Linked DNA regions of Drosophila melanogaster. The protein of the gene in region 2 interacts with the protein of the main gene of each other region in a pairwise test. Each region holds a gene or a part of one and is shown on either strand. Other genes may lie near its edges. The genes, in order: mxt and eIF4E4.

Region 1 (7,443 bases), on a different chromosome or scaffold from region 2:
GTAGTAGTGTCAAGTTGATTTTGTTACATTTATCTTAATACAAATGCCAATGGCCGTCAATCCACGATGAAGAAGAAATTGCTAAATATGGTTGCAAAATTGCAGAACTTTGTGCATGTGCCATGCTATTTGATAGTGTTTAAGAAAACCCACGACCTGGGTTAGTTTCGGATAGCTATTCTAGGGCGGCAGCAGAGTGGCACCCTTGACAAAGTTGTTGCTGTAGTGGCTGAAATACGAGGGATTGGAGTTGGACCCCGTGTTGTTGGAACTTCCAGAGGGCCAGTAGTTGGTAATCTGTGGTGGGGTGTCAGGTGGCGGCGGAGGCGGCGCTGAGGTACCAATGATGGAGAGATCCGTACCGCCTTTGATGGCACGGCCGGGACCGAAGAACGTATCCATTTGCTGCTTCTTGAAATCATGCATCGACGCAAAACCATTCGGCGGCCTCTCCTTGGACATGTCCCACGAGCCGATGCTGGATGACTTGCGCACGAACACTTGGCCCTTTTCATTCTTGTCCTGCTCCACCCAGCGCTCTGCATGCTTCACCGTCAGCATCGCCTTGTGCGCAACTATATACTCCTCGGCCTTCTGTAGTCGTTCCAGTTGCTGCTCGTCCAGCTGGTCGCGCGGCAGCTTCCCCAAACGCTGCACCGTTCGCTTCCAGTTGTGGAACTCACGGTTTTTAAAGGGCTTCATGGCCATACGGTACTCCTTCCACTGGCGCTGGCGCTCCTCCTTCGTACCAGGCGGTGCATCCTCGAGCGGCGGTGGTGCCTCTGGCTTCTGTATCCATTGGCCATTGACCTGGACAAATGTGCCGCAGCGCTTGGGCTTCTTGGAGGGCTGCGCTTCCCCGTTTGACGGCGAATTGTTGCCATTGCTTGGCGGTGGGGGCGGAGGCATAAGCCTCGTATCTTTGTCACTGTTGCCGCGATGGTTTACCTTGAATTTCTTGTTATTCTGGTTTGGATTGCTGCGATTGTTTTGTGCTCCCTGCTCCTTGGGTACCAGATTCCACAAGCTGGGGCACTTGGGCATGGGCGGTTGGATTGGTGGTGGTCTATGTTGTGGCGACATCATGTCCTCCCAGAACGGAGGCGGCTGCAGAGGTCGGTGATTGTGATTCCGGCGGGGCCCAGAACCACGTGGTCCTCCAAAGCCCACTGGACCACCGGGGCCCATACTGCTCATGGGACCACAGGGACCCATATTGCTTATGGGACCGCGAGGTCCTCCTGGTCCCATTGGCCCCATGGGGGGACCGCATTGTCCGGGTCCAGGCCCAAAATTGCCTCCAAAGCCCATGTTCATCAGCTGCATAGGAAGTGGAGGCGGTCGATTCATCGGAGGATAGTTCCTGTCCTGGTAGCTTTGCGGACCTCCGCCTCCATGAAAGGCATTGTTGCTATTCGAAGACCAATGTTTACGTCCGTTGCCGTTGTTGTTATTGTTGTTGTTGTTACTATTGTTATTGTTGCTCCGTTGTAGTCCGCTTTTGGTATCCGGTTTCAGTGCATCCTTGCATTTCTTCCAATCTGCAAACGACATTTTCAGCGGCTTAGTTTCAGGCTCATCTTTGCCGGACTCCGGAACGACTTCCTTGGAATCCTCTGGTGCCGCCTCCACGTCCCCGTTTTCAGACATCTCGCACCTTAGAGAGTGGGAATACACTTTATAAATATATCAACTTAATTTTATTTGAGTTTTGCTTAGCGATGGCAAACAAAAATTTCAATAACAACAAATTGAAGGAACAGCCGATGTTTTCTATCGATATTTTCGTGCTTAAAATTTTAGGGAGTTTCCCCTGAAGTATTTTCTTAAGAGTCCTGTTGTTCTTAAAAAAGAACAGTAGTTTCCAAATGTATTCTCTAAACTTTCCGCTATACCAGTAAATCTTCATTTGTTAACTAGTAAGCGATATATTAATGCCCAACGTAATATAATATATATTTAACATTTTCGATCCCATGCAGACACAACCGGCGGGGAATAGTAATTGCCCAGCGTCCAGATACCATAGTGAATTGTTGGTTATCAGCGATAAGTGTCTGATTTCGTAACATTTATTTCATATTTAAATTTAAATTTTAATACGAACACATCTGTGATGCGAAATTGATGTGAGCTTTTTGACTGCGCTTTACGTGAACTGGTCTGGATAGCTGTGGCGCATCTCTAAAATCTAACGTGTTCGATCAGGTGGCAACACCCACCGTAAAAAACGATTTTAGTCGCAGTCGCAGAGATTTTGGTTTTGGTAAGCTCTAGTAATTTATTGGAAATTACGATCCAAAATACACCGTTTTAAGAGACGTTTCAATCGGCCATTAAAGTAAATAATAAGCGCGACGAAGACTAAACATCAAAAGTGTTGAAACTAGAACGAGAGTGCAAAGTCGGTCGCCAGCAAAACGCGTAGTTTGCTTATTTTAACGAAAAGCGGCCAGTGCCATTAAAATATTACTCAATTTCACAGAGAATTTTGGCCGAAAACGGATGCAATATATGGATATATAGACCCTGTTTCCTGAAAGTTAACTTCCTTTTTGTTCTACGCCCAACACGGTCGTCAACTGCGCTGCCATCGTCGACGTCGGCAGAGGCCATTCTTGTTGTTGCTATTCTCGACATATGATTCAATAGAGCGATCGCCTCTCTCTTTCTCCCTCCCACGGACAATTTCAGTTTTTTGTAATATTTCTGTTAGCTGTGTTTTAGTTGCCCATGTTTGTTTGTTCTTGTTGTTGTTGCTGCTGCTGCTGTTGCTGCAGCGGCAGTAAGTGATATTTAAAAAAGAAATGAGTTGTTCGCATGGAGCGAAAGTCGAACTGAAATAACACAAATGGTCGTCCGTTTGTCGTTCCCATTCGATATATGCCAACAATTTTCATCAATTATTTACATATTTTGCTTTTGGAACTTCGCACCGATTAACTGAGCAGAAGCCAGAAGCTCAGAAGGCGCCAATGGGTTAATTTGGCCACTAAACTATAGATAAATCGCGGTGTTATCAGCTAAAGCCGCTTATCAAACGTGCACATCGTTAAGATATACGAGAGCTTTGCGTCGCAATATTCGAGATTCGGTCGGAAACGAGGCCAATCTCCATATCCTAAGAAACCTTTTGGTTGTCCATGCTCTCGGCCATTACTCCCAAGTTCTAATGCAATATAGTCGGCTTTGATCATCCTAGCAGCTGAAAGCATGTATCCAAATAGTACAATAGTTTTAATGTAAACAATACATTTGATCGATAACTAACCTTTCTTGTGTTTACAGGGGGAGGTGCGGAAACAGCTTCTACGATTCATTTTTGATCAATTCTTCAACAACATTTAAACGAACGAATAAGTTAGCAGACCATATAGACTGAAATCAGCAGATCCGGACACCAGGCGGGACAACCTTAAGACTTCTTCACGAGACGATATCGAATCCAACGAATCCCGAGAATGGCTCACACACACCTGGGACGCGCCGTGAAAAACATTGAGGCGCCACGCCCGTTGAAGACACAATCGCGATCGTCGTTGAAGAACAGCTACCTGGTGATCGAGGAGCTAATCCAGTTGATAGACAACGTGACCGTCGGTCTTCAGTCGTGCAACACCACGCCGGAATCGATCACGCTGCTCCTGCACAACCTCCGGGTGCATGGACCGCAACTGGAGGCGGTGTCCAAGGATACACTGGACCGGGCCTTCGTCGTTTTCCGCAACGCTTCGCAGGACGAACGGCTGAATATAACGACGCGCCTCAAGCTGCTCGAACTCATCGAGCTGCGCGCCAAGAGCTGGGACAATGACGACACAATCGCGTACTACAAGTCCAAGCAGCAGATCTCCAACGTGGAGGTGAGTAGAGTACATAGAATCGATCTCACTTTGGAAAACGATCAAATATGTATCGTTGCTTTGCAGCTGCCTTCGGAATACCAGTACGATGCCGGCGTGCAGCCTGGCGCCTTCAGCACCTCCCCCACATTCGGCGTCAGCGGCGGTGTTGGTGGCGTTAACGATGGAGCCGCAGCCGCCGCTGCCGCCGTCTTCAATGCAGCATCTGCAGCTGCAGCCGCCCAAGCTGCGGCCATTGCGGCCGTGGGCACATCCAACCAGCAGCACATGCTGCTGCCGCCCGGTGAGGTCATTCGTAATTCGGGCAAGTTCCCCAAACCGACCAAGATTCCTGGCAAGACGTACTGCAAGGACGAGGTCGTGATTCGCAATGCTGACTCCGGCAAAGGTAAGTTTTTCAATCAGCTGAGGAGTGTTCTGGAGCACACAGATCTACAGAAATGGTTTTCAATAATGTATTCCTCCATTCCCGTGGCCAAAAAGTAATGGGCATCAAGGGGCGTCGCGTGCACATGATCGAGGAGCTAAGCGAAACCATTATATCGTTTCAAAGAGGTAACTCCAGAGAGCTGGTTTTAATTGTGATCCTCACCGCACCCCCATTTCATTTGGCACGCTTATTTAAATCAATTAATGCCCGGTGGCTTCTACAAAATTTACTAATAGAAATTATAAATACGCATGTTCCAGATTTTGTCCATTCAACGACACCACATTAAGCCAAAATTGATCGTTAAAGGCATTTTGAAATCACATATTTTCATACTGTATATATGCATTTTGTTTTTAAATGTTTTCGCATCCCAATTATTTTTCATAAATATAAATGCTTTTTTCGAGAACAATTATGAATGCCTTGTTTTCATTAGTCAACCCGGGTGCCAAGGAGCGTTTGGTGCAGATTACTGGTCCAGCTGAGGATAAAATTAAGTGAGTAAAGTAAATAAATTAAAGCTAATTTACCTTTATGTCAAAATGTTTTAATTCTACGACAGCTATGCCAAACAACTTATGGAGGACACCATTCGTCGGAACGCCTCGCCGGTGCGCCTGGAACCCGCTCCTGCCGTTGGAGGATCCTGCTCCTCGCTTAACTCGTCCAACTCGGACGACGCCATTGTGCAACCAAGAACGCCAACCGGAAGCAGTTTGGCCAACCGGCTAAGCTTTAACTCGGCCCAAAACTTCATGACCGCCACAGCTGCTGCACAGCAGATCTCGCAGCAGATGCACCACCAAACGCATCACCTGCAGCACCAACAGCAGCAGCAGGTCGCCGCAGTAGCCGCCGCAGCAGCAGCGGCGGCACATGCTCAGGCGACAGCCGCTGCCGGTAAAGTCTTGCGTCCCAATCAACAGCTGCTAATGCACTCATATTCCACAAACGATGCTTCCGTAGGTGAATACAAGTTCACGGTCAACGTGGGCCAGCACCTGATCAAGATCACCGGCGACTGCTGCGAACTAGTGCGCGTGAGTAATGTTGAAGTTTTCAATTGTGAAATTTGTTAAATCCCCTGCGATTTCAAGGTGGCCAAACTCGTGCTCGATGACTATTTTAGCAGCTCGGAGTTTCTGGCATCCATTGAGGCTGGCGCCGCCTTCGACGGCACTTCGCTGGTGACCACGCCATCGACTCCGCTTCCCGGAGCCGGGCCGCCGCAATTTTGGCTGCCCGGCACGGACAGTGGCATTGGACTGAATTGCGTTGTTTCCTCGTCAGCGAACAACAATGGTGAAGGCGACGACGAGGTGTTCGCTGAGCCCAGCAATGGAGGATCATCGACTAGCAATCAGAATGGACTGGCCAGATCGCGTCGCAGCCACTTTTCGCGCAAGGAGTCCACGCCGGAGACCAAGGGCGCTCGGGAAAAGGGTGACTTGGACGATTTGGCAGGCACCAATTCCTTGAAAAGCAATGCATGTAAGATTACAATCCTTTTATGCTTAACCAAGTCTTTGATGCTTAAACTTAAATTACAGCTCGCGTTTCTTACGATATTGAACACTTGCTCTACTACTCCATGAGTCCGCACTCGTGGACCCTGCCCACCGACTGGCAAAAGATGCAGGAGACAGCGCCCTCGATTCTGCGCAACAAGGTAATTTCGCCGTTCGATGGCTCACTTGGCCGTACGGCTTACTCTTCGAACATCCCCGATGCTATCATCGCCAGTGCACCTAACTCATCAGTAATAACACATCCGTGGGCTTTAAATGCAATAACCTCCTCCCCGAACACAAATATCATCAGCACCGCCGTTGGACTAGCTGCTGTCGATGCGTCGGCAGACAACAATCCCCTAACCGTCACTAACAAGCAATCAAAAGGGATCTTCGCCGAACGCGAGAACCGTCGCCTTCCCAAAACATCGGCCGTGTCCGATCGAAACCTGTATAACAAGCAATTGCAAATCATAACTAATACTGTGGGTCAATCGGTGGCAACACAAGGAAAGCATCGCCAGTCTAGCTATCAAACATCACAAGTGAAGGCAATTTTTCAACGCTACTGCGAGGACGATGAGTTTTCATTGGCACTGTGCGAAACAGAATCGAATAATAACCGCGTTTATGTGTAATTTCATTTAATTTCATTTAATTTAATTTAATTTTACGTAGCCGGAATACGTATTATTGAATCTCAGTCACAGATAGGCTTTTCTTTTCATGTCAGTATTTTTGCTGTTTTAATTTTATATAACTTATCATTAAGAAAAGGTGAAGCGTGAAGAACTTGATAATGAATCAAGTCAATACATCATTATCATTATCATCATCCAGTCATTAGATTAACGACATACCATCGAAACCAAACCGATCGCTAGTCTTAGAGGTAACAATACATATAATGCATTGAAATTAAAATGTAACTATAGGGAGAATCTGTGTTTTGGCTGTGAAACAGATTAAGTCGTCGCTAAGGATAAGCTGGAAAGGCGGTTGAAACCGCTTAACCGCTAACAAACAAACATTCTCGAATTCAAACCAACATTTACAAATCTGTAATCAATACGATTTATATTAACTAATAAACAGGACTTTCAAAGTCCGTAACAAAGCTTGGCTGGGTTTAACTTACACCACCACACACCCCACACATTGTAAATTATAAATTGTAACTTGTGTTTTACCACCGAAGCATCATAACATCACCACCTAACCACCACTCCAGATGGCTAACTTAGTTACTAAACTGTTCCGTATGTATATATGTTCGTTCATCCCTGGATAGCTTGCGTGTCAATGTTACTTTGAAATCAGATATTAAACCATTTCTTTGTTCGACAACAGGATCTGCAGGATGAGAGCCAGCGCTTCGATGGTGATAAGTATCTGGCCAGCATTAAGACGGCCGCCAAGCGAGACATTGTGGCTGCCGATGAGGTCGAGACTCTGGACGAATAAAGCCATCAATCGAGCGGCTCGAACTGACAATATAGAGTGTCCCGGGGTGAAGTGCCTGCTCCCAGACGGAGCTGCAGTATGCTTCAATGCTTTTGGCCATGGCCACATCTAACAATCGCAAACTCAAAACGACCAAAACAAAACAAACAAAAAAAAAAGAATATTGAAAAAT
Region 2 (3,855 bases):
GTGGAGTTGCTAAACCAAATGCTGAGAATCATGAGGCAGGTGAATCTAATGGCCAGGCACCCGAATCTGTTTCGCCTGAAACATTTGCTGCTCCTTCTTTTGGCCCTGCAAAATCTTTTAAGATCACTGAATACGATAGTGGGAATAAGTAACCACTCTGCTGAAGCTTATGACTCTTTTCTTAATAGCGTTATCCTATTAATTATACTGGCCGTCCTGCTGAGCTTTCTTCTTCAGATCACCATCAATATTTGCCTCTTTGTAGTGCTCATTGCCACGTATAGCGAACTACACCATTGCACTCGACGAATCTCAAATGATATGGATAAGCTCAGACTTCATTCTGTCCATGAAAGTGGTCAATTTATGGTGTTGGTAAAACAACTTCAAGGAATCACTGAAAAATTAATTCGACTGCGTCAAAATGTCTTTCATATTACCGTCAGAATCATACGGCATTTCCGATTTCATTGGCTGTGTGCTATTATCTACGGATTATTACCATTCTTTAGTTTAACAGCTAAAGATCAAAATGGTTTTAACTTCCTCATCATTTCCGCATTGAACATAATATTCCAGTGGACTATTTTTGCGATTCTTTCTCGTGAATCAAGAATCACCCGGAGTTTATGCACTTTTCACTTGACCAATTACCATAAGGAAACTGCTAGAACGGTGAGTAAAACTATATAATATAAACTAGTAGGTTTTTTTTTTGAGTTTTCTTTTGAAGTACAGATTGATGAATTACTACATCAGGAAATTTGGGAACGTATCACAGTCACCATATACGGCAATACACTCGACACGAAATTGCTGTTCAAACTGCTATCCATTAGTGCCTTTTGCGCGTTTGTTAACCGACTGGAGTACTTGCACATCTAGTGTCCTCAATAGATCCTGCCATTTAACTGTCAAATTAAAGTCGGAGCAGTCCTTGCTCAATTTCGATATCGTCGTTTTGTCTATTATTAGCATTCTGGGCTGTCATGTTATCGCAACTGTTGTGCACCAATGTCAATTGCACAAGTCAAAAACTGCCTCATAGATGACTTTCGAGATACTTTGCCGGCAATTACGTAGCTGTTTCATTGTTCCACCATTTCGAACAAGCTTCATAATATTTTCACTTTTATGGCAGGCAACATAAAAGACGACAGCTTTGGCAATAGCAACAACATCATCATTATCAACACCATCAAAGCCCGGAAAATTTCACCTTCTGTGACTCCACCCCCCCTCCCAACGCCGTGCCTTTCGTCTCCTTTTGTCCCCCTCAATTGTCGTAAAATCATAGGAAAAAAGAAAGGAGCCAACGGAGGCGAAAAGTGTGAGTGCGTAAATTTCTCTCTGGACTCGGAGTCGCTCAAGTGTCCTTCCATTCTGTGTCATAAAATTAACGCTTTATATGAACGAAAGCATAAGGCGCTCGATTTTTATCACCAAGGCCAACAAGATGGCCATAAACGAATCAGGAACATGGAAACGCAGAGGAAAAAAATAGGCAGCTAAGTATCTACAAATGAAAGTGTAATTACAAAAGATTTATACTGATTTTTAAATAAACTTATAGCTAAATCTATATATAAATAAAAATGTATATTTTCCCAATTACAACCCACTTCGTACTGTTATTTTCTGGCAGTGCATAAGCCCATAGCGAACCTTATGAGAACATAAAGAGTTAAGAGTTGAATTAGAAGCAGAAGAAACTGGGACCGAAGTACGTTGGGTAGTAAGAGAGGTGGTCCAAAGAGTGCCTAATTATTTACGTGCAATGAAAGTTATGAATTGGGGAACAGGTCAAGTCGGCGAGGGTAAAAATACCCCCGAACCTCCCTATGCCTTTACTGTCTGTGTGAATGGCTTCAGTCTGGTTTCGTAGCCAGCCCCTTATACACATTCTCGTGTTGTGGCTGTGAAATCGTTTTTCCCAGGTGATCTGAAATTTTATTAGCATCCATTGTTATAAATTTGAATCAGTATAAAAGATCATTCGCCAAATACACTCAACCATGCTGACGACCCAGCAGACCGAATTCAAGATGATGGACAACGGCACCGAGACGCTGGCCGATTCTCCTTCGAGTTCCAGCGAGGATCTGAAAACGCTTTCGGATATGGATATTCGCAAGCCCGTAACGGAGATTGTTGATTTGCGCCTTAAGCATCCGCTAGAGAACACTTGGACACTGTGGTACTTGGAGAATGATCGCAGCAAGAACTGGGAGGACATGCAGAACGAGATTACTAGCTTTGACATGGTCGAGGACTTCTGGAGTCTCTACAATCACATTAAGCAGCCATCTGAGATTAGAGTGGGCAGCGATTATTCTTTGTTCAAGAAGGGCATTCAGTAAGATTGGCTAGATTTATATACATGATTACCGATTTCCTATTCATTGCAGGCCAATGTGGGAGGATGATGCGAACAAGTTCGGCGGCCGTTGGGTCATCAATATGGGGCGTGGCTCCAAAGCGGAGCTCGACAAGCTTTGGTTAGATGTGGTAAGTAGCTATTGGAGCTTTGTGTCCATCGCCTGTCATATCAGTTGCAACTGCACAACCTCTTTTCTGCCCACTGACAGCTACTCATACTGATTGGCGAGGCCTTTGAAAACACCGAGGAAGTCTGCGGCGCCGTTATCAACTTGCGCGGGAAGAGCAACAAAATTTGTGAGTATTACTGAAAAAAAAAAGATGTGCATGTGCATTAAAAAAGCTGGTTACAAATATTATATTTTACTAAAAACATTACACATGTTTTGTTTACTTCGCCAACCTATAAATATTAAGTGGTATACACCTAGGTTGGCTCTGTTTTTTTTTTTTAAACATAGTTTACACATTGTAGTTTTGTAGTGTACTCAGCTTAAGTAGCCAGTGGACACCACCATGACAACTACTAACCCAGCGCCTTTACTCCGCAAGCGATTTGGACCGCCAACGGGCACAACGAGCTGGCCGTCATGGAGATTGGACTCAAGTTACGCGACCTGCTCGTCCTGCCGCCCCACCAACTGCAGTACCAGCTGCACAAGGACACTATGTGCAAGCAGGGATCGGTGATCAAAGCGGTTTATTGCGTGTAAGCCGTCTCCGTTTTGGATGCCACCCACCACTCCATCCACCAACCACCCACATTTCCATGGCCGCTTATGCCTCTGAATGCTGTTTCCAGCGCGTGTATCCGAAAAATATAAAAAAAAAAATGTATCTTGAAACAGAACTGGTTTTATGAATTTGACCATGTTAAAAATTGCAAAGAAAGATGTAAATACATAGTGTTGTGAATGCATATACGACGAGCCATCATTAAATTCCCCAGTTTTTAAGTCCCAAGGAGCTCTTTTTATGCCGCTAGTTGGACCCTTTATGCTCCACAAAATGTTATGCAAACATATGCCGCACCAGAGCGCAAATAAAATGGTTTATATACACTTGCAGTTTGTACTTTTGGCCGGGCCAGCTAGAAGTGCACAGTGACTGCAAAAGATAAACGTCCACTTGGTTCGCTTGGCTGGCCGAGCGAAAAACAAAAGACCGAAAAGGGTCAACAATGGCCACGGCGGATTGTCCGTTTTAGCGAGTGCCACAGTACCCGGCGCTGAATCTCTGGGATCTCTGGTATCTGGAACTGGCGTCGAGGGCTTCCAAAATGGAGACAATTGAATTTTGATGAAAGGCCGAACGAAACGCCGTTGCCTCGCGCAGTATTAAAATTCATGCTATGAGCTTCGAGTTCGAGTTTGAAAAGAGACTCTTAATTTGCGTGTAAAAAATGTTATTTTAATAATTTAAAAAAAAACCTATTAAGTACGTTTTTAAAGTATCTTTGGTATTCTAGTATCTATA

What was found.
Region 1: the proteins of eIF4E4 (region 2) and mxt interact in a two-hybrid assay, tested with the Drosophila melanogaster proteins (2 studies listed by BioGRID).

Annotation. Positions count from the first base shown.
Region 1 is NT_033779.5:4,842,062-4,849,504, reverse strand, and holds mxt (mextli), read left to right. Parts: upstream 1-2,209; 5' UTR 2,210-2,266; exon of another isoform or gene 2,267-2,341; intron 2,342-2,740; exon of another isoform or gene 2,741-2,789; intron 2,790-3,154; exon of another isoform or gene 3,155-3,226; intron 3,227-3,288; 5' UTR 3,289-3,461; coding exon 3,462-3,863; intron 3,864-3,929; coding exon 3,930-4,251; intron 4,252-4,346; coding exon 4,347-4,418; intron 4,419-4,732; coding exon 4,733-4,793; intron 4,794-4,858; coding exon 4,859-5,336; intron 5,337-5,393; coding exon 5,394-5,787; intron 5,788-5,846; coding exon 5,847-6,445; 3' UTR 6,446-6,921; downstream 6,922-7,443. Other genes in the region: CG11927 (uncharacterized protein), read right to left, coding at 181-1,650. UniProt on the Drosophila melanogaster protein: Plays a role in promoting translation.
Region 2 is NT_037436.4:6,663,668-6,667,522, reverse strand, and holds eIF4E4 (eukaryotic translation initiation factor 4E4), read left to right. Parts: upstream 1-1,881; 5' UTR 1,882-2,015; coding exon 2,016-2,356; intron 2,357-2,408; coding exon 2,409-2,508; intron 2,509-2,588; coding exon 2,589-2,676; intron 2,677-2,931; coding exon 2,932-3,092; 3' UTR 3,093-3,299; downstream 3,300-3,855. Other genes in the region: Grl65a (gustatory receptor-like 65a), read left to right, coding at 1-675, 739-885.